3 linked regions of the Astyanax mexicanus genome follow. The protein of the gene in region 1 binds, or shares a complex with, the protein of each later gene. Links are inferred from orthologs where the notes say so. Each region holds a gene or a part of one and is shown in the gene's direction. Other genes may lie near its edges. The genes, in order: etfb, acadm and etfa.

What was found.
Region 2: the proteins of etfb (region 1) and acadm are in contact, whole or in part, in a crystal structure (PDB 2A1T), measured with the Homo sapiens proteins. The link is inferred for Astyanax mexicanus from reciprocal best matches to the Homo sapiens genes ETFB and ACADM. Residues at the interface, in NP_001976.1 of Homo sapiens: Glu73, Arg76, Thr77, Tyr192, Ala193, Thr194, Leu195, Pro196, Ile198, Met199, Lys202; in NP_000007.1 of Homo sapiens: Glu43, Gln44, Lys46, Glu47, Phe48, Thr51, Lys54, Phe55, Glu58, Glu59, Arg80, Glu83, Leu84, Gly85, Leu86, Leu98, Leu100, Ile108.
Region 3: the proteins of etfb (region 1) and etfa are in contact, whole or in part, in a crystal structure (PDB 2A1U), measured with the Homo sapiens proteins. The link is inferred for Astyanax mexicanus from reciprocal best matches to the Homo sapiens genes ETFB and ETFA. Residues at the interface, in NP_001976.1 of Homo sapiens: Ile14, Tyr16, Val18, Ile20, Val22, Val29, Thr31, Phe41, Leu102, Arg106, Lys124, Gln125, Ile127, Asp128, Asp129, Asp130, Cys131, Asn132, Gln133, Gln136, Met137, Ala139, Gly140, Phe141, Asp143, Trp144, Pro145, Gln146, Thr148, Phe149; in NP_000117.1 of Homo sapiens: Glu27, Leu88, Pro89, Glu90, Ser113, Ala114, Phe115, Lys117, Asn118, Pro121, Arg122, Ala124, Ala125, Lys126, Glu128, Val129, Ala130, Pro131, Ile132, Ser133, Arg146, Thr147, Ile148, Tyr149, Ala150, Gly151, Asn152, Ala153, Leu154, Cys155.

What each region holds. Positions count from the first base shown.
Region 1 is NC_064408.1:120,898,966-120,906,124, forward strand, and holds the start of etfb (electron transfer flavoprotein subunit beta), read left to right. Parts: upstream 1-4,108; 5' UTR 4,109-4,188; coding exon 4,189-4,242; intron 4,243-7,159. Other genes in the region: upstream stimulatory factor 2, read right to left, coding at 2,351-2,388. UniProt on the Homo sapiens protein: Heterodimeric electron transfer flavoprotein that accepts electrons from several mitochondrial dehydrogenases, including acyl-CoA dehydrogenases, glutaryl-CoA and sarcosine dehydrogenase.
Region 2 is NC_064425.1:41,682,440-41,689,709, forward strand, and holds the start of acadm (medium-chain specific acyl-CoA dehydrogenase, mitochondrial), read left to right. Parts: upstream 1-4,266; 5' UTR 4,267-4,377; coding exon 4,378-4,395; intron 4,396-5,989; coding exon 5,990-6,092; intron 6,093-6,192; coding exon 6,193-6,290; intron 6,291-6,509; coding exon 6,510-6,579; intron 6,580-7,142; coding exon 7,143-7,243; intron 7,244-7,270. Other genes in the region: E3 ubiquitin-protein ligase HECTD3, read right to left, coding at 734-1,084. UniProt on the Homo sapiens protein: Medium-chain specific acyl-CoA dehydrogenase is one of the acyl-CoA dehydrogenases that catalyze the first step of mitochondrial fatty acid beta-oxidation, an aerobic process breaking down fatty acids into acetyl-CoA and allowing the production of energy from fats.
Region 3 is NC_064409.1:55,937,945-55,945,853, forward strand, and holds the start of etfa (electron transfer flavoprotein subunit alpha, mitochondrial), read left to right. Parts: upstream 1-4,893; 5' UTR 4,894-4,979; coding exon 4,980-5,018; intron 5,019-7,909. UniProt on the Homo sapiens protein: Heterodimeric electron transfer flavoprotein that accepts electrons from several mitochondrial dehydrogenases, including acyl-CoA dehydrogenases, glutaryl-CoA and sarcosine dehydrogenase.

The sequences.
Region 1 (7,159 bases):
CACACACACACACATTTATATTACATACAGTATGTTTGGCCAAGGGCTAATAAACATTGCTTCATTTGTAAATTTGAAACTAAACAAATTTTCTACTCATATCTTGAGTTTAATTCATTTTCTTTTACATTTTATTAAAAAACTAATAAAAAAAGAGTAGCACTTTTTAAAAGAAACATAAGAAAGGTAAAGAGCAAATATTAACCATGTAAGCTGTTTATATTGCTTGCAATTTAGGTGAAGCAAGCATGTGTAAAGCATTTTAATGTAAAATTGCTTAATTTTGCTGAATTAAATACAAGTAACAAAGTAAACGAGTAACAAAAATATGAACACCACACAAGGGTTAATACATAATTACTGTTTATCTTGCTGAATTTACCACATCTAGTGGACATCTGGCATCTAGCATGACCAGCATCACCAAGTTAGTGGAAAGTTTAGTGGACACACTGGTGTAAAAGCTATTAGACTGAACACAACACTGAATTTAGCACTAAATATAGAGCACTAAATACACACTGAATAGGAACTAAACACAGACTGAATACAGAATGAATACATATTTAATACAGACTGAATACAGCACTGAATACAGACTGAATACAGACTGACTACAGTAGTGAATAAAGTCAGAAAATATGAATACAGACTGAATACAGTAGTGAATGTGGAGTGAATTCAGCACTAAATATAGACTGAATTCAGCACTAAATATAGAATGAATACATCACTAAAAACAAACTGAATTCAGCAATGACTATAGACTGAATAGACTAAATACATACTGAATAAAGACTAATTACACATAGGATACAAACCGAATACATCACTAAAAAAAGGAACTGAATGCAGATTGAATGCAGTAGCAAATACAAACTGAATACAGACTAAATACTGACTAACTACACATACAAATACAGACTTAATGCACTAGTAAATACAGACTGAATAAAGACTAAATACAGACTGAATACAGACTGAATACATCAACGAATACAGACTGAATGAAGACTAAATACAGATGGAATACAGACTGAATACTTCAATGAACACAGACTGAATACAAATTAAAAACAGCACTGTATATAGACTGATTACAGACTAAATACAAATTGAACACACTAAATGCAGAATAAATACAGACTAACTACACCTTGAATAGATACTGAATACAGACTAATTACACAGAAAATACAGACTGAATACAGACTAATTACACATAAAATACAGACTGAATACAGACTAATTACACATAGAATACAGACTCAATACAGTCTAAATACAGACTGAAAAAGACTAATAACACATAGAATACAGACTGAATACAGATTAATAACATAGAATACAGACTGAATACAGATTAATAACACATAGAATACAGACTGAATACAGACTAAATACAGACTGAATACAGACTAATTACACATATAATACAGACTAAATACAGATTAATAACACATAGAACACATATTGAATACATCACTGAATACAGACTGAATAGAGAGTGAATACAGGCTTATTACACATAGAATACAAACTGAATACAGACTAATTACAGACTAAATACAGTCTAATTACACATAGAATACAGACTGAATACAGACTAATTACACATAGAATACAGACTAAATACAGACTAATTACACATAGAATACAGACTGAATACAGACTAATTACACATAGAATACAGACTGAATACAGACTAATTACACATAGAATACAGACTGAATACAGACTAATTACATAGAATACAGACTGAATACAGACTAATTACACGTAGAATACAAACTTAATACAGACTGAATACAGACTAATTACACATAGAATACAAACTTAATACAGACTGAATACAGACTAATTACACATAGAATACAGACTGAATACAGACTGAATACAGACTAATTGCACATAGAATACAGACTGAATACAGACTAATTACACATAGAATACAACCTTAATACAGACTGAATACAGACTAATTACACATAGAATACAACCTTAATACAGACTGAATACAGACTAATTACACATAGAATACAACCTTAATACAGACTGAATACAGACTGAATACAGACTAATTACACATAGAATACAGACTATATTAAGACAGTGAATACATCACTGAATACAGACCAAATAAAGACATTAAATAAAGAGTGAATGCAGTAGTGAATACAGACTGAATACAGACTAAATAAAGACATTAAATAAAGAGTGAATGCAGTAGTGAATACAGACTGAATACAGACTACATAAAGACATTAAATAAAGAGTGAATTCAGCAGTAAATACAGACAGTACAGACACTGAGCTGTTCTGTAATCATCACTCTGAACAGAGGATTTACCTCACTAAAGTTTCCAGATTCCGCTCCAACACCTCCATCTGCCTCCAGCTCCAGCAGAGTTAGAGAGAGAGAGAGAGAGAGAGAGAGAGAGAGAGAGAGAGAGAGAGAGTGTGTGTGTGTGTGTGAAAGTGAGAGCTGATCACGGGAACAAACACTTGGGTCACGTGACAAGGCGTGGCCAGACTAATAAGAGGGCAGGGTTTAATTTTAAATCAATACATTTACTAAGTAATGAATATATAAGATAAAATAAGTGTAAAGTAATATATATGTGCACATTGTTTATTTTATATATAGATAAATTATATTGGAATAATCTATAGAAATGGGGAAAAGTTTTTTAATGCTTTTTTAAGTTTTAAATTTATTATTAGATTATTAGTTTCGACTTATTTTATGTATTGCTTTTATTACAAAAAAACAGCAATTCTAAATTAAATATATGTACACATACAAAAGAATCCCATGAACAATTTAATTAAATACATCAAAGTTAAATAAGCATTTTAGCGTGTTGTAATTAGTTTGTATTTATCAGTGTTGTGAACAGATGATCTAGAGTAGAGTCTCTGTAATTCTCACTAAGCCCAGCTGGTGGCGCCATTCCCTCATTTTACTGCTGTTCATACAGTTTTATTATTGCTTTACATTCCAGCTTTGGTGACGTGATAGTAAACACGTGTAAATGTAAATGTTTTTTTTTTATATAAAAATAAATAATAATAATGATAATAATAATAATAATAATACAATTATAAAAATGAAATAAAATAATTAACTAAGATCATAAGAACGAAAATACAACAATTAAAAGTTATGAAAAAATGTGATCAGAAACTATAAGTTTAAAATGGTTAAGTGACCGTAAGTGAGCTGAGCTTTAGAGTGGTGGGTGGCTGTATAACATTAAGTTATATTAAATTATTTTTACTTTATTGTTTTTTTATGTTTTGTTGTTTTTAGGGATATATATATATATATATATATATATATATATATATATATACATACATGCAGTTCTGGAAAAAAAATAAGAGAGCACTTAAAAATGACTAGTTTCTTTGATTTTACCAAATTGAAAACCTCTGGAATATAATCAAGAGGAAGATGGATGATCACAAACCATCAAATCACCAAACTGAACTGCTTGAATTTTTGCACCAGGAGTGTAAAGCATGAAGTTATCCAAAAGCAGTGTGTAAGACTGGTGGAGGAGAACATGATGCCAAGATGCATGTTTAAAACTGTGATCAAAAACCAGGGTTATTCCACCAAACATTGATTTCTGAAGTCTTAAATCTTACTGAATAGGAACTTGTTTTCTTGTTTTTTTCTTTGTATTATTTGAGGTCTGAAAGCTCTGCATCTTTTTTTTTTGTTATTTCAGCCATTTCTCATTTTCTGCAGATAAATGCTCTAAATGACAATATTTTTTATTTGGAATTTGGGAGAAATGTCTGTAGTTTATGGAATAAAACAACAATGTTCATTTTACTTAAAATATACCTACACACAGCAAAATAGACTGTTATATACAGTTATATATAGAGCATGGTATTGGTAAATGATTATTATTAGGTCAGAGTCAGTCAGTCACTTTAATTTAACCTTTAACCCACTTTCTCAGAGCTTTGTTTCAGTCAGAGCGCGCATGCGGGGAACACATGCGATAACCGGCTGCTGCCAGCTCGCTAGCTGATTGGCTGGGCTGCGCTGGTTCTGTAATATGATTGGCTGGAGGGGCAGGCGTGCTCGGCTGGTCCCGCCCCGCGGTGTCACAGCGATAAGGCTCCGGCTGCTGGTGGTTAGCTGTTAGCTGTTAGCCGTTAGCCGCAGCGATGGCAGCGCGGGTTCTGGTCGGGGTGAAGCGGGTCATCGACTACGCCGTGAAGGTAAGAGCCCGGTCGGTCCCCGGGGGTCTCAGCGCGGGGGCGGAGCGCGGGTTTACCGGGGGTTTAATGCGGGGGTTCAGGGGGAGTTAGCCGCTGAAACAGGTTTACACTCACACACCAAGGTCAGCACGGAGCGACAGACAGTTTACTGTCAGATAGACAGGTTTAAACTACACTAAACTCACTCTCAAATACCCTAAATACTCTTCTCATTCATCTGATTACTGAAAACCCACAACTGATTAATTTATTCAGGCCTTAAATCTCAACCTGACTCATTCATACTTCACTTCTGTCTGTCTGTCTGTCTGTCTGTCTGTCTGTTTGTCTGTCTCCTACCTACATACTGAGCTGTATAGCTATCTATCTAGCTAGCTATCTGTATGTCTGTCTCCCTGTCTTCCTACCTACTGAGCTGGCTGTCTGTCTGTTCTTCTATTTACAACAAATAAATATATCTACTTTTTCTGTCTGTCTGTCTCTCTGTCTGTCTCCCTGTCTTACTACCTACTGAGCTGTATAGCTCTGTCTGTCTGTCTGTCCACCTATTTACAGCAAATAAGTAGACCTACATTTTTCTGTCTCCCTGACTCCCTACCTAGTGAGCTAGCTGTCTGTCTGTCCTCCTATTCACAGAACATAAATAGATCTTCTTTTTATATTTGTCTGTCTCCCTGTCTACCTACCAACTAAGCTAGCTGTCTGTCCATCCACCTATTTACAGCACATAAATAAATCTCCTTTTTCTTCTGTCTAACTGCCTACCAAGCTAGCTGTCTGTCTGTCCACCTATTTACAGCACATAAATAGATCTCCTTTTTCTTCTATCTACCTGTCTACCTACCTACTAAGCCAGCTGTCTGTCTGTCCACCTATTTACAGCACATAAATAGATCTCCTTTTTCTTCTGTCTGTATTTTGCATTCATTTGTAATGCATTCTGATGTTTAGCTTCCATATGAAGCTTATTACTATTACTACTACTACTACACTACTACACTACTACTACTAACCTTCAGAATACATAAGGGCATTTAGGGTCACTGGGGAACAGGCAGACTGTCTACTGAGATTCCCTTTGGCAGCTGCTCCGTGCTCCTTTTTATAAATCACATTAAAACACCCATTCAAGTTAAATAAATTAATTAGAAGCAACCAAATTGAATTTATATGCACTGCACAGCACTACTATGTACCTATACGAACAGCAGACTAGAAGGTCTGAGAGGTTACTACAAACTAACTAACTAAATAGTGTTATCTGAATAGCACCTGATAATAAAATTTCTTCATGATGAACAGTCCGGACCCTTGCACTATAGCTGTATTGATTGATTGTTTTTTTCCAGGCCAGGATCAGATCTCTCCTGTTTGATCTGGATCCTGTCAGCTGATGAAGTGTATTGTATAGTAGTCTGACCTGAGACGATTTCTGCCCTCTTCCTCTCAAACTGTTCACCACCTACTCACCAATTAACACACTCAATCACGAGAAAGCGAGAGAGCGAGAGCCAGTCTGGACCCTCGACCAAGCAGCAGTGTTGGGTCTGACTGTTGGCAGGAATGTTATTCAAACTGTGGACTTCCTTCTGCACTTTCTTATGCACTTCCACAATTCCATACTTTCTTCCTTCCGCACTTTTTTCCCTCTGCACTTCCAAACTTCCTTTATTTCATACTTGCACACTTTCTTCCACACTTTCATCCTTCTGCACTTTATTTCCCCTTTTCCGTCCTTCTGCGCTTCCTTTCTTCCTTCCTTCTTTCTGCACTTTCCTTCTTTCTTCTTTCTGCACTTTCCTTCTTTCTTCTTTCTGCACCTTCTTCCTTCCTTCCTTTCTTCGACACTACCTTCCTTTATTCCTTCTTTCTGCACATTTTTCCTTCCTTCTTTCGGCACCTTCCTTCTTTCTGCACCTTCTTCCTTCCTTCCTTCCTACTTTCGGCACCTTTTTCCTTCCTTCTTTCTGCACCTTCTTTCTTCCTTACTTTTGCACCTTCTTCTTTCCTTACTGTCTTTCGCACTAACTCCCTCCCTTCCTTCTTTCTGCATCTTCTTCCTTCCTTCCTACTTTCGGCACCTTTTTCCTTCCTTCTTTCTGCACCTTCTTTCTTCCTTACTTTTGCACCTTCTTCTTTCCTTACTGTCTTTCGCACTAACTCCCTCCCTTCCTTCTTTCTGCATCTTCTTCCTTCCTTCCTTCCTACTTTCGGCACCTTTTTCCTTCCTTCTTTCTGCACCTTCTTTCTTCCTTACTTTTGCACCTTCTTCTTTCCTTACTGTCTTTCGCACTAACTCCCTCCCTTCCTTCTTTCTGCATCTTCTTCCTTTCTTCTTCCCTCCTTCTTTCTGCACCTTCTTCCTTCCTTCCTTTCTTCGACACTACCTTCCTTTATTCCTTCTTTCTGCACATTTTTCCTTCCTTCTTTCGGCACCTTCCTTCTTTCCTTCTTTCTGCACCTTCTTCCTTCCTTCCTTCCTTCCTACTTTCGGCACCTTTTTCCTTCCTTCTTTCTGCACCTTCTTTCTTCCTTACTTTTGCACCTTCTTCTTTCCTTACTGTCTTTCACACTAACTCCCTCCCTTCCTTCTTTCTGCATCTTCTTCCTTTCTTCTTCCGTTCTTCTTTCTGCACCCTCTTCCTTCCTTACTTTTGCACTTTCTTCCTTCCTCACTTCCTTTCACACAAGCTTCCTTCAGTAGTTTCTCCTTTTCTTCCGCATATCCTTCCTTTCTTCCTTCTGCATCTCCTTCCTTCCAAAATCAAGTTGCCCAGAACTGCACCTGGCGGCCAAAACAGCTCAGAAAAAGCTAGCTTGCCATTGTTGTCTTCATAATAAAAGTCCCAGGGCAGATCGTAACTTAAAAAAAAAAATATATATATATATATACACACACTTATTTTACTCTTTCAAT
Region 2 (7,270 bases), on another chromosome or scaffold:
TGGTGAGTAAATAAAAGTCGAGCAAATAAGGGTTGATTAAGGAGGGAGTAAATGAGTGGTGAGTAAATAAAGTCGAGCAAATAAGGGTTGATTAAGGAGGGAGTAAATGAGTGGTGAGTAAATAAGCACTGAGTAAATGAATGGTGAGTAAATAAAAGTCGAGCAAATAAGGGTTGATTAAGGAGGGAGTAAATGAGTGGTGAGTAAATAAAGTCGAGCAAATAAGGGTTGATTAAGGAGGGAGTAAATGAGTGGTGAGTAAATAAGCACTGAGTAAATGAATGGTGAGTAAATAAAAGTCGAGCAAATAAGGGTTGATTAAGGAGGGAGTAAATGAGTGGTGAGTAAATAAGGACTGAGTAAATAAGAGTTAAGAAAATGAAAGTGGAGTAAATAAGAGTTTTGAGTAGATTTTATTAATTAAGTAAATGAGGGGTGAGTAAATAAAAGTTGAGGAAATAAGAGTTTGGAGTTTATTTTGAGAATTGAGTAAACGAGAGTCGAGTAAGTAAGAGTTTTAAGTAGATTTTAAGGGTTAAGTAAATTAGAATTGAGTAATTGAATGGTGAGTAAATAAGGACTGAGTAAATAAGAGTTGAGAAAATGAAAGTGGAGTAAATAAGAGTTTTGAGTAGATTTTATTGAAGTAAGTGGTGAGTAAATAAGGGTTGATTAAGGATTGAGTAAATGGGTAACTGAGTGGGTTCAGCTGCTGGTTCTGGTGGAGGTTTACCTTGCTGATTTTGACCCACAGGCCGTGGCTGTTGTAGTACTCCTCCCCGGAGGTTCGGATGCAGGTCCCCTTCTTGGGCTCGATGGTGCACCGGGCGGTCTTCCTGGTGGGCGGCTGGTTCGGGTGGTCCCAGACCGGAACCAGGGTCTTTCCTCCAGAGTTTCCAGCTGAAGAGGAGGCAGACGAGGACCCGGAGTTGCTGGACGAGTCCTTACAGATCTTATAGCACACCTCCCGCGGCACGAAGCACAGGCTCTCCGGGAGCGGCTCTCCGGTCCTGAAGCACTCGGTGCAGCGGTTCAGGAAGCGGATCCGCCCCAGCAGAGTGTGCGGGTTCTGCCCGGGAGACATGGCTCTCTCTCCGCTGCTGCTGCGCTTCGCTTTCGCTCCGCCAGCCCGAGTCTGGTAATGTCAACACGGAGTTAGAGATCAGTCAGAAAAGCGCTATTTATCCCTCCTTTCTCCTCTTTTCCTCCCCCTTTCTCTCCCCCGCTCTTCAGCGGGAATTCCAGAAACTTCTACCGAACAGAGGATCAGCGGAACCGCGGAAATCAGCGCTTATTCTCCCCCGGAACCGCGGAACATTCCAGGTAGCAGTTACTAAGCGTTAGCCCCACAGCTAGCATCTGTCACACCGGCTAACGAATCCCGATCCGACTCAGAGTCACCCGCGAATCGGCTTATCTAGACCGAGTCCTTAGAACAGAATCAGTGAGTGAATCGGAGCGATTCAGGTCATTTGTAAAATCAATGTAATTAAATAATCTGAGGAAATCTGTTGCCTTCATTTTTTTTAAAGTAATGTTATTTACAATTTAAACTATATTATAAACTTTAAAAACTATTTTATAAACCTGTAAACAAATTGTAAGTTAATACATATTTAAAGCAATGTAAATTATAATTAGTACTTAATTATAAACTTATTATGAACAATTTGTTAGTACATTTCTTTTTAAATTATAGTTAATTAAAGTAAATGAATGAAATTGATTTGTAATTAGTCAAGTTATTTTATTTAATATAAAAAAAACAAAATATCATTATTGGAATGTATAAAGTACTATAGAGCTAGACTTGAGTGAAAGTACAAGAGCTCTATATTAAAAAAAGTTTCATTGAATGGATAGTTGGTAAAGAATCGGTTCGTTTAACTGAACCCAACTCTTCTTCATTCACTGAAGTGAACCTGTAGGAGGAGCCTGCTACAAACCATTTCGGCCGGCAGGGGGCGCTGTAGGCGCTGGAGTGAGTGTGTGCTGACCTCTGCTGGTCATGTCTGTTACTGCAGCTACACCCCAACCTTACACAGCATATACACACTCGTACTGTACCTAAGGCTATGTTTACATTATCAGGCTGAAGTGACTCGAATCTGATTTTTTTGCTCAGTGTGGCTCAGATATGATTTTTTAATGGCTGTGTGAACGTGCCAAATCAGATTTGTTTTTTTAATCAGATTTGAGTCACTTTCATATGTGGTCCTAAACCGGATACGTATCGGATCCATGGACATGCGACATGAATGTGAACTGTCAATTCGGAATTCATGCATCTTTTTGCTTTATGCATTAGCATTAGCTCTACGTGCCTCTCTCTCGTACCCACACATCTCTTGAGCAGCTGTGCAGCTATAGCTGCAAAAACAGCAAAAGCAAACCACCTGATCTCTTTTTACCTCCTCGACATCAGATCAGCTGTTTACTCTCCACTCCAGCAAAAGATGTTTCACATATGAGCTGCTGACTCATCCATTTCCCTTTATAAAGCTAGGAAGCTCTCTCAAATATGATTTTTTTTTTTGTTGGTGGTGAAGAAGGCGACGTTTAAACAGGTATCAATTTGTGAATGTAAGCCGTTTCAGGGACAGCTTGTTCCCATTACACACAGATACTGATCACTTACATTTGTGAATGTGAACCGTCAGAATAGCCAAATCCGATCTGAGCAAAAGAAATCGGATTTGAGCAATGTGGCTTGTAATGTGAACGCAGCCTAAGACCCCTACATGAAAAACAGTGGGACCCCCCAAACCTACATGGACAGCAACTGATGGACAGGATGAAAAGTCTCATAAAATTAAAGTGAAGTATTTCTTACTTTACTTTGACTTTTATTTTAACCAAAAACAGTTGGGACACTAAAGCATTTACTTTACTTTACCTTGAAATGTTGCCATTTCTTCTCACAACAATTATATGATGTTTTGGCACTAATAACACTTAAAACTTTACTGTACACAACACAAGCCTTATTATGTTCACCATGACCTTTATCACCAACAACAAGCTCTACAATACAGAGTTACTATATTCACTAATACCACAGTGGAAAGTGTATTGTGCTCAAATGAGTCAGAATTGGAGTTTAAAAGGAGCTTCCAGACTGTTCTCAGCAACAAGTCCAAACGTCAGGGTCTGTTATTGCATGAGGGCGTATCAGTACACTTCTGTGATGCAACATTAAAGGTCCATTATTATTATAATATGAGTTAATGCACTTGCAGCTTTTGTCAGCAGAGCTTCACACAGTATTTTCTTATTTGAACTGTGTGGTATGTCACAGTGATCTATGGGGGATACCTCCTGAAACACTTCATCCCTTGCTATCCTTAGTGAATATAGTAACTCAGTAAAGAATATGTAAGAAACACTGCCTTTTTTATTATTTGCTTTTTCCATATGATTCCACAATTATGGATTTGGAGCTGTGAATCTTGAATCTTTATACATGTATAAAATGCTGCTTTACCTTTTTTACTAATGTGAATCACCAATGGTTACAAACATTTGTTGCATTTTTGTCATATTTTCTAAGATAGATGAGAAGATGAAGTGTGATATAAAGCTATCGCTTTCCTTTTTACATGGGAGAAGAACCTTTATTCAATTTTGGAGAGAACTAATGAAGAATCTGTTTCAAAATATCCATGTGTACCCATGAATATTCATAATTTTGAAAACAATTAATTTTATTCATATAAATTTAATGAAATTTTATGATTATGAATTGATGAACTGGTATTTCCTCATTTGTCTATTTATGAATAGTTTCATGGTTACCTGCATGTGTCAGTTGTTATAAAACTTGCCTAACTGCATTTTTGGTATTGTCCTAAAATACACAAGCTATTGTTTGTTGTCTATGGCCTTCCAATCAAAAATGACCCAGTATTATTATTATTAAAAAAGTAAAAGGTAAAAAGTAAAAAATATTTTCTTATATTCTAAAGGTTTACTCGTAAATACTCAATAATGAGCCTCACCCTCAAGCGCAGATATAATAGTCCTGCAGATTTGTCCATGTTAACACATGTAAAATTTCAGCACTATATAAATTATGTTTAATGTTTTAATTTAAATAACCTCTGAATTACACAACTATCAATGTAGGCCAGAATAAAACTGGGGCTAAGGTCACAGGGGGCGGAGCCGGATCAGAGCACGTGATCAAAGCCCCGTATTTGATTGGCTGGAAGTAAAGTAGTCGAAGAGAGCCGACGTCCCGGCACATGATCACGTGACAAACATCCTTGGCTGTGATTGGCTGTCTGCCTGGAGAGTCTTTTTGTAGGGCGAAGAGCACAGGACGCGACTCCCAAGGATCCGGATTTCTTATTACAATATAAACAAATACACAAAAAAATGCTGATTTTCAGAAAGGTAGAGTTTTATATATTTATTTCATTGCTTTTAAACAGATTCTGCAGCCTTTGCTTTGTGGTTAAGCTTAGTATAGTTTCGTTTCTACCGCCTTGTTTTTGCAAGAGTCCGTTCCACCTTAAATAGTGCAGCTGTTCTGGTCGAGTTTGGGGTTTATATTAAGGTGTTTTTGTGTTTAATTCGAATTATTGCAGATTTACGTCTGGTTTGTATTTCGTTATTGTCTTTAAAAATGGCTCACAACGATGAATAAACACATAGGTAGTCATATTACACTGTAAAGCAACATACGCCACAATGTGAGCACTCTATTTAAGGTGGACGGGAGAATGAGAGTAATAATGCTCGGTGTTTTGTTTAAATTGATGCACAGTTATTTATTATCTGTGAGTTATTGTTGTTATTAACCCATGAAAAAAACATAAATATTTCTGAATATGGATGCAAAATTCTAAATGAAATCAGATAAAATCATTGAGCTGCTCATGCACGTTTTTTAATTAATGTGGGCACATGACGGTATGTATTAAGTTAAAGTCCTTAACAACAATTTCAAATATATATATTTTTCAACATTCTGTTCTTCAAATCAGATCAGAACTGGTTACATGTTAAAATGTTTGAAACACAACTGTAGAATCAAAAATATACTTTTTAAAGGAGAGCTTAGTTATATCCTACAGCACTATCCCAACACATCTACATTCTGGAAATAAGGTCAGATAAACAAATACACACCCACACACTGTGCTGTGATGCTCTCAGGATGTTTAGTAGCCATATGTCGCTTAGGAACTTAATGACTCAAAGTGAAGGACAGGGTTAGACCTGTCACAGTAAGAATTTTTGTGTAGAAAAACATGATAAATTATTTACATTTGATGACTTGCACACCTCCGTTCTCCACTACACCGCTCCACACCTCTTTGTTAGAGCTCTGGCATTTAAAAGGAGGCTACTGATAATACAGTGAGGAGCAGCAGCAGGAGCTCCTCAGATAAAGTGCTGTTCTCATTTTTCTTCAGGCAGGACATCACTAGATGAGCTTTTGAATCAAGAGCTGAGCTAAGCTATGGTCACTCCAGTGTGTTAGCTTGTTATGCTAACTGGCTAGCATTAGCTAGTGAGCTGTATGTGCTTCTTTGGCTGTGTTTTTCTTCACAGAGCTGCATGTGAGGGACTGGGTTCTTTATTAGGCTGTAACAGAATTGCAGGATTAGTGTTGTAATAATACAGTCATTGAACTAGGGCTGCAGTGATGATGAGTTGGACTAATTGAAAATGTTAATTGAAAGAAAATAGGATTTTGTTTGAATTTCAGTGTCTACCACACAAATTGCTGTGGACAGAAACACATTGATGATTTGTTTAGGTAAATAATAATCGTTAATTAGTTAATTGATTGCAGAAATAACCTTCAGATTAGTCAGATACCAAAATGATTATTTGCAGACCTATGTTGAACTAAAATATGTTTTCTGGCGAACTCTGTGAGAGGAGTGACTCAATGTCTGAGTTTTTTGCAAACGTGATCTGGAATAAAACTATAGAGTGATTAATATTGAATTTTGTTGTATGTTCTGTGTGTGCGCAGGTTCTGCAGACAGGGGTTCAGACGGGTCTGCGGTTTCAGAGCAGTGGAGCTGCAGCTCGAGCGGCCAGTGCAGCGAAAACGTCACATGGAGGAATCTCCTTCGGTACGTGGACGGACTGCACAGCACGACTGGTCGACCCCTGTGAGTGTCTGTGTTTGGTAAATACAGTAGAATTAATTCTATTTTCTGTGATCATCAACAGAATTAACTGACCAGCAGAAGGAATTCCAGGAAACAGCCAGGAAGTTTGCACGAGAGGAGATCCTGCCGGTCGCTGGGGAGTACGACAAAAGTGGTGAAGTGAGTTTGTGAAATATGATCTTTGATTTTGTTTAGTTCCATTAAATGGGAGATGTAATGAAATGAAACGTTTTGGCCGAAACCAGACAAAATGAAAAAAAAAAATGGCCAAAACCTGAATACTAAATGATTTTCACTATTTTTTTAAGCTGTTTAGCTTTTATTAATATTCAAGTAGTAAATAATTCTGTGTTAATCCTCTCGTCTCCTCTGCTGCAGTATCCGGTTCCGCTAATCAGGAGGGCGTGGGAGCTCGGTCTGATCAACAGTCACATTCCTGAGGACTGCGGTACGTCTGTGTATATTGTAAATATGGTTTCTGTCCACTTTATCAGGCGACACCCTTTTTAACAGGCCTTTGCCTGTATACAGACTACAGGTGTAGATCCTATAAAACCCTTTTAAGCAGATTAAGCAGGTGTAAAAACAGTAATAGTACTCTGGTGTGGAACAAAACCACAGCAAAACTGCCAGAGGAGGAGGTCTTGGTCTGATCCCAAACGAACTCTGGAGAGGTTCGCTTGTGGTGAGAACAGAATCCGGTCTTGATCCGACGCAGCTATCAAATATACTCCTTTTATTTGAGCTAAACTGCTGATAAGGTGCAGTTTAATCTGATATATTAGCCAGATAATGTTAATTACCACAGCTATGAATAAGGACTGTCTTTGCTGCTCCATGCTGTTTACACTCGCAGTCTGTGCTGCATTCACTACTAAGTGCAGAGGCAAATTTTCAGGGTTCTGTATTAAAGCAGCTTCACACTGCACAGATATACCCGCTGGAACACAGAATCTAATAGAGCTCCAGATCAGTTCTGGTTGGTAACTGGTCATATGGTCTCTGTTTCAGGGGGACTGGGTCTGTCCAGTTTCGATGCTTGCCTGATCACAGAGGAGCTGGCCTACGGCTGCACAGGAGTCCAGACGGCTATTGAGGCCAACTCTCTGGGAGTAAGTGTTGAGTGTTTATCTGATCCG
Region 3 (7,909 bases), on another chromosome or scaffold:
TTGTTAATTTTTTTCGGCCACGAGAGTGATTTTACCTACAGAGTAATTTACGCCAAGTGGACTCAGAATAAAACCTGACACATCCGCTTATTTAATTATAAAATATCTAATTCCTTCTCAAAATCATCTAGAGATGCTCGAATAAAAAAGAGATCGAATATGCACATATCTAACAGCTTGAACATTTTAGACGCTCTTAAATTCTCCGCTTTTTAAAATAAAAAATATGTATTTAATTCCTTCTGTCCAAACTTGGCAGTGGCTGAGCTCTGGAGCAGAGCCCCCTGCTGGACACACAATCACATCACACACTCCTCCTCTCCAGCCTTTACACATCGCGTCGCATTTTCACATTGTGCATTCTCAGTTTAAACCTTTATTCAGATCAGAATAAAGCAGAAAATAAACAGATTTGAAATTTAAATTTCTCTCTAAATCTCTAATTCTAATCTAATTTAATCTAATTATCTAATCTAATTTATCAGAACGGAAAAGACTGTTACACTTCTCTGACACTTTCATCACACTGTTCTTTAAATGAACATCTTAAAAGAACAATATAATTTACATTTTTTCCTGTAAATGATCTTTAGTTCATTTACACTACATACAGTTACATACAGACCCAGTTTTACTGATTTACTCTCTGTCTCTGATTAAACGCGTGGAAGCGAACCTTCGTTCCCTCAATATTTGAACTGTTTAAAGTCTGTATTTACATCGCTCATCATTTTTATTATTTGTACAATTATTTCCTCCACAATCCACACATGAATTATTTGGACATTAGAAGCGGACCTGTGGGGATTTGTAAAGAAACTGCGTTTGAGTTAAGTTTCCTGATTTATTTGTACGGATTATTTTTTCAAGATGTTTCCAGAACGGGCAGAGGGTCGCTCTTCCTTTAGCGTGCTCTTCAACCTGACCTTTAACACCGACCCTAACTCAGATCAATCCCATCTATAATCTCCACCACAGCGTGTCTCATTACATTAGAGAATATCTTCTTTCTTTTTTTTTTTACACACAAACAAAAAAGATACATACAAAAAATAAAATAAAATTTTGTCGCCTAAAAAATGATTTTATGCATTCTTACAATAAAATAAAAAGTCTTCTAACAAAGCAAATGTGCTGCAAATGGTTTGATTTGATACATGCTATAGAATAATCACTTTTGGCTCAATAATGAACCATGCTTGTAAAAGTTAAGTTTAAAAAAGCTTTTAAATCGTAAAGAACCATTACGAGCCATATTTTTTTTTGAAATATGTATTTTTTAAGATGATCTATCTGTCTGTCTATCTATCTATCTATCTATCTATCTATCTATCTATCTATCTATCTATCTATCTATCTATCTATCTATCTATCTATCTTGTATGTTCTATAGTCAATAATATTTAGAGACGCTGCAAAACACTAAGCTTAAAAGACAAAAACTTTAAATGTTGAACTAAAAACGTACAGATCTTTTATTTTATTTTTTCGTCAACAATCAGAAGAGAAAAGACCCAAAAATACAAAATATTAAAAAAATTGAAACTACTCCTTTACAAATGATAAAAAAGAGGCAAACCAGCGAGGGAACGAAAACGGAATGTTACTCTTAACAAATCTCTTCTGAAAGTGGAGGACAAGACCACTGCCGCGTATGGGTGTGAGCATGAGTGAGTGAGTGAGAGAGGGAGGAACAGAGGGTGGGAGAGAGATGTCTTTTAAAACAAGCCTAACTCACCCCGCCCTCTCAAATCCAATCAAAGCCGCTCAGATCTCCAGCACTCTCACCTCTAATGTTTCTGAAGACTGAGCTTATAGTGTGACTCTGTACTGAACCGCGAAACAAGCTCAGCCCACAACAACCTGAGATCAAAACAACCTTTTACAATCAGGCTCTTCAATTATTCACTTTCACGCTTCTCCGTTTGAAATAGTATATGATGTTGTGTATAATTAGTTAATATGAATGTATATAATGTAATGTAATATAAATCAGAGGAAATCAATAGCAGAGGAAATGGGCTTGCCATGAAAAAGAAAAGTAACTAAATCGTTTTGAACATTTGCATTAAAATAAAAAAAAAAAACGTGGAATTTAGGTAGAGAGTCAGAAAAACACTCCTGAGATATTCCCTGTCATGTAAGGGGTATATTTCTAAAAAAATATATATAAAAATAAAAGGAATTTATTTCCTTTTGCTAAAAGACCTACAGCTATTTAGAGTACAACTACCAAACAGTCTCCCAATCTCTCTTTATATCTAAGAATTATACAGACTGTTTTTTATGAGCTCTGTTTTGATTTGCTATATTTAAAAAGTGAAACAAAACAGTCTGGTCTAAAAGTAAAAGGCAGTTGCAATCTTGTGGAAAAAATTACATATTTTGATTTTTTGTATTTAACATAGGAAAAATAAATGTATGCAATTTATTTTTCTTATTGTACATGTTAAATTGTGCTACTAAACAACAGTTATGCTTAAGCCAGAACTGTGTTCATGGCTGTAGGCTTATTTAGAATTTAAAGAAATATATAAATAGTACCAGTCAACTTGTACACATCCTCATTCAATGTATTTTCTATATTATAGATTCTTATTAAAATATTGAAAACAATAAAGGGACACATATGGAATTACTTTGAAAACAAAAAAGTGTTTGTCCTCCACAATCCTCTGACCTAAACCCCACTGAGATGGGTGATTTGAGGTGATTTGTGATGAGCTGGAATTTCACAGCGTGAAGGAAATGCTGCAACTATTGTTCAGCACCTCCAGGAATTCCTTTAAGATGCTGAGAAAACTATTCCAGGTGACTCTACATCACGAAGACACAGATTAACCACACTGTAAAAAGTGTAGCCCTGCTCAAATTAAAAAAATTGATGTCCATTTGTTGCATCTAAACTATTTGACTTCACTCAATCTAAATAAAGTCAATTGTTACAACCTGATTATTTTATTTTGACATAAACCATATTACTTCACTCGACCCAATATTAATTATTCACCTTGATCCAAGTTAAATTCTTTACATTTCAGTTTCGGAACCAAACTAATACATTTAAATTGATCCGAACTTTTAAAAAAAACATGGCAGCATATTCAGAAGTTCCAGAAGTTACTGTGGCGTGGAAGAGGACGGCTTACCAGCGAGATTCGTTTCAGTGCTCTCTTGCTCTTTTTATTTTGCTCTGAGGAGGACACTAAGAGCTGGATTTACATGGGATTCCACTTTTGAAAGTGAAACTAACTACAGCTCCAACGCAGCTAACCCCACTCCCACACACAGAAAACACACAAAGGGTGAGGCACTTACACAAAACAACCACATAACTGATAACTACATGAATAATACTAGAACAGTGATAATAAAACATGACATGAAACTCTGGGATAAACAGTAACATAAACACGCAGAAAAACACCCACTCCCCCCAACAGGGTGAGCTCCCATAATTCCTTCCGCCCCCCCTCCAGTCCCGACGCCACAATACCATAAGCATGCGTTGCTATCTCGCGAGCGCGTTCAGGCACTTTCTCCCTCTCTCATTCTCTCTCTCGCGAGCGCGTTCAGGCACTTTCTCCCTCTCTCATTCTCTCTCTCGCGAGCGCGTTCAGGCACTTTCTCCCTCTCTCATTCTCTCTCTCGCGAGCGCGTTCAGGCACTTTCTCCCTCTCTCCCTCAGTGCTCTGAAGCACTTCTCTACAACTTCTCCCGTGCTCCACAGTGCGCATGCGCAATTCATGTTTGATTCAAATTAAAAATATTACATCCTTATCTCTTTTCTTCGAGTATGATTTCAGTGGAACCAAAACATTTGGTTTATTTCCTTCAGAATTGTAATTAATTTAGTCTGAATCAAAATTGACACATCAAAATTCAAAAAGGTTGAGTTTCACAATAAAGTCAATAATTGTACTATGTGTTCAATCATATTTATTAGCTTGAATGAACAGCTCCATGCTTCACTTTTTACAGTGCAAGAGTGTTCAGATCGGTCCTCAAAAATCTAAAGTATAAAACATATTCTGTATTATTTAACTCTTTTTGTTTACAAAATAATTCCGATGGTGTTCCTGTGTAGCTTGAAATTTTACAAAATCATAAAAAAGAAGTGTGTCCAAACCTTTAACTGGTACTGTTGTAAAAACGTATATATAAAAAGAGGTGCACAACTGACTTTACATGAGAAAAATAAGTGGGTAGTTGAACATTATTTATTATTATTATTAATAATAATAATAATAATAATAATAATAATAATAATAATAATAATAAGAAGAAGAAACAAGAAGAACAATAAGAAAAAAAGAAGAAAAATCTTTTTTCCTCACATATCGCACACTGTTGAAAGGTAAGTCACAATCTTATAAATACTGTAACAGTGTTTACATACTACATTATTATTTAATAAAGATAAGCTATTCACCGTTCTATTAATATTATTTATTAAGTAAGCACACTTGACAGAACCATTAAATAAAATCACAAAAAAAGTATTCGATGAAACTTAATTAAAACATGTTAGCTACATTTCAAAAAGGCGAAAGTTTAGGCATAGACCCTAAGCTAAGAGAAAACGTGTCTTTGTCTAATCAAGGAGAAATCATACATTAAAAACGCTTCTCATGTTAAATGCAGGTATAAATGAAAGAAAACGTGACTGCAGTAAGGAGCTGGTGAACTGTTCTGTAGAGCATTGAACTGATCACTTTATCGATTTACTGCAGTTATTCAGTAATTCGCTGGAACTAAATCCCCCGCTGGATGGAAACCTGCTCCGCGGTCTTCAGCTGATCCTCACTGAACTCGTACAGCGGCGGCAGCAGCACTGAGCTCGGGTGGGCGGTCCTCTCCGGCGGATATGAGGTGCGGCCGGGTCTCGGAGCTCAGAGTTAACTCTCGCGATATCGCGGCCCTGTGAGCTCTGCGGTTCAGTCCTGCAGTAGAGTGGAGGAGCTGCTGCTGCTGTAATCATGCTCAAAGCTGTCAACAAGACAAACCTCAGGACTCTGGTAAGAATTAAACACTCTGTACAAAGAGTAGAGTGGTCGCTCAAGTCGCTTTGCGTTAATTTGGAGGAAGACATGCATAAATACAAAGAATTATGTAGATTAATATAAAGCTAACGTAGCTCACTAGCTCACTAGAGGTGAGTAACCAAGGTCCAAAAAGTAAAAATCCACCCCAGGCTTTTGTACCAACTGCGTGCGTGGCTCTGCTGCAGCTCAGCTTCTTTATCAAAACGTTGGTAGAGAGTTACCAAGAGAGTTGGTAAGAAACCCTGGGATGGATTTGATTTTCTGGACCTGGGTTACCCACCTTTACTCTGGACCTGCATTTGTCTAACTTAACTAGCCCGCTAGCTACTAACTGTAAAAGTGTAACCAACCAGTTTCTTTAACTTCTGTCCTCTGCAGAGGTGAGCTAGCTAGCGTTAGCTAGTTTCGTTCTTCTACGTTAGCTAGGTTAGCTAACTGGCTAACAGGCTGGCTGGTTTTTAGGCTAAATTAGCTGAGTTAGCCGTTAGCCTCGTTTCAAGGTTATGCAGTTGACAGATTTTACGTTACGAAATCTCACACTGACGCTGTTAGATAATTAGAAGTATTTTGAAGTTTCTTTAATTATAATTAAGGCCTACCTGTCCATATGTGACTGTTCTTAGCTCGTTTTGTCATCGTGTGTCTAAGGACAAATCTGTGTTTGTTGTTTTGAAACGAGGTAACGTCAAGTCAAGGCAAGTAGTTTTATTGTCAACACTGCATATTTACTTAAAGGATATAGAGAGGATTGATTAGGATTCTCTCCTCCCTGAAGTTACAGCAAGTACAGCAAAATAAGATGATTATAAATATAAAAGAAACACTACGTGTACAATACAACAAGAAAAAAAAAATCACGGACATTTAAATCACTGTTTTTATTAAGTGTAACTTAGTGAACTGGTGACACAGGGCTTCTGCTTTTAACAAGCAAGAGAGGTTTCTAAATTAATTGTGAAATTGAAAGTGTGAATGATAATTCAACAAAACTGGTGAAACCAGGGCAAAGGTTAAGGGTTCTTCTAAGGTGCAGCTACTCAAAATTCAGTTTTAAGATCTGTCAGCACAACTTTTGGTTCCTTATCTTATCACTATCAAAATGCTTTTTTTCTTAAAATGTTATCGTTAAAATTATTGGATGTTTTTTTATTTTATTTTAGCGTTTCTATTGACCCATTCCATATGCTTTTGTTGCAGTGTGAACTGACATATTTAAATTCTGTTACATTTTTATTAAGTAAAAGTATATGCCAGAAATTACTATACAGTGTTTATTGACATGACTAGATATACAGTTACATGTAGAGGCAGATAATGTTCACTGTTTACAGCCTTTCCAATAATATCATGGTAATTACATTACATTATAAACTTTTAGATAAGCTAGCTAGTAATAGTTGTGCAACTTTCCAGCCTCACCCTCATACCTAATTCTTTGTTTGTTTAGCTTGCACATTCCCAAACTATTGAACTGTACCTGTCTGAACTGCTGATAGATCTAGAAGCAGACAGATGTGCTATCTAATCAAATATTCTGCTGGAGTTATCTGTGTTTATTTCTGAAAATGTGTTTACCATCATTGGAGCTGTTTATTGGCAAGAATCTGGTGCATATCATGATGGAGGTGTTATGATATTTATAATGAGAATTTTTTAATCAAATTTCTGAAAACAACCCCAGTTTTTGTTGTATGACCAAAATATGCTTTACAGTATTTCTTTAAGACTTAGGCAGTTTAGCTGCATTTTTATTGATGTATTTATTGCATTGTATTGGTTAAAGTTCTCATTCCATTGTTTTTTTCATTCGTTTTAAAATGTCTAGTTGCGGTCTCTAGTATGAATGAATGCTATGTGAGCCAATTTTTTTGTGAAAAAAGTGCTCAGGTCAACTGTGGCTTATTTCACTAATACATGACCTTTTGTTAATAAAAAATAAGCAATAATGAACAATAAAAAATATATAATTTAATAATATTTTCAGACATTAGAAATGAATTATAAAAAGGTTAAAATACAATTAATGAAAGAAGATTAATACAATAGTGTTATGCTGGTCTGATGTTAAAATATTAAGTCACATTAATAGTCTCTCCCTGCTAAAAAAAAATAAATGAATAAAAAATAATGGGTAAAATTGAGATGAGCAAAAATGCTTGTAAAAATAATCTTGTTGGTTAGTTGTTGGTAGTTATTGTGACAAGCCAAGGTGAATGCTTTATTTCAGTGCAAGCAAAAACAGCCATGTCAGCATGTATGTGCAAGTCTAGCAACACATTAGAGCTAAACATTTGTGGTGTTGGTAATGTACCTAAATTCTGTGGTGATGAACATTTTCTGCAATTTTTATTTGCACAATTTAATTTAAATTTAAAGTATGTAAAACTTTTTAGGTAATCATAACAGTGGCATCTAAAGACTGAGTACAACGCGGCTATCTAGTGGTCGGGGTTTAAACACAACACTAAATAAACCATTGCATGCCTCCAGTCTTTGCTTGTAAACTATTAATTAAATATCCATATTAGGCCTGGACAATAATTCGATATCGGTATTTATCGCGATAAGAAATGTTTCAATAACGGTGATATCAGTTATCAGATATCTCGCCGCAGAGCTCAACACATTCAGCCCCCGTAGCTGGGCTACGTCAGTGCGTGATGACGTAACCACACAGGCACGTAGCCAAATAGGCTAGGCTAGGCAAGGCTAGGTTAAAATGGCTAGGCTCGGGTCCGCTTCGCTACGCAGCACATATGTCTCGCGCTGGAGCCAAACGGAGCCGGGACGAGCGGATCCAAGGCTAAGGTAGACTCGATTCGGTCGGCCCCGGAACCTCGAGGCCGGCCGCGGGTACTCGAGGC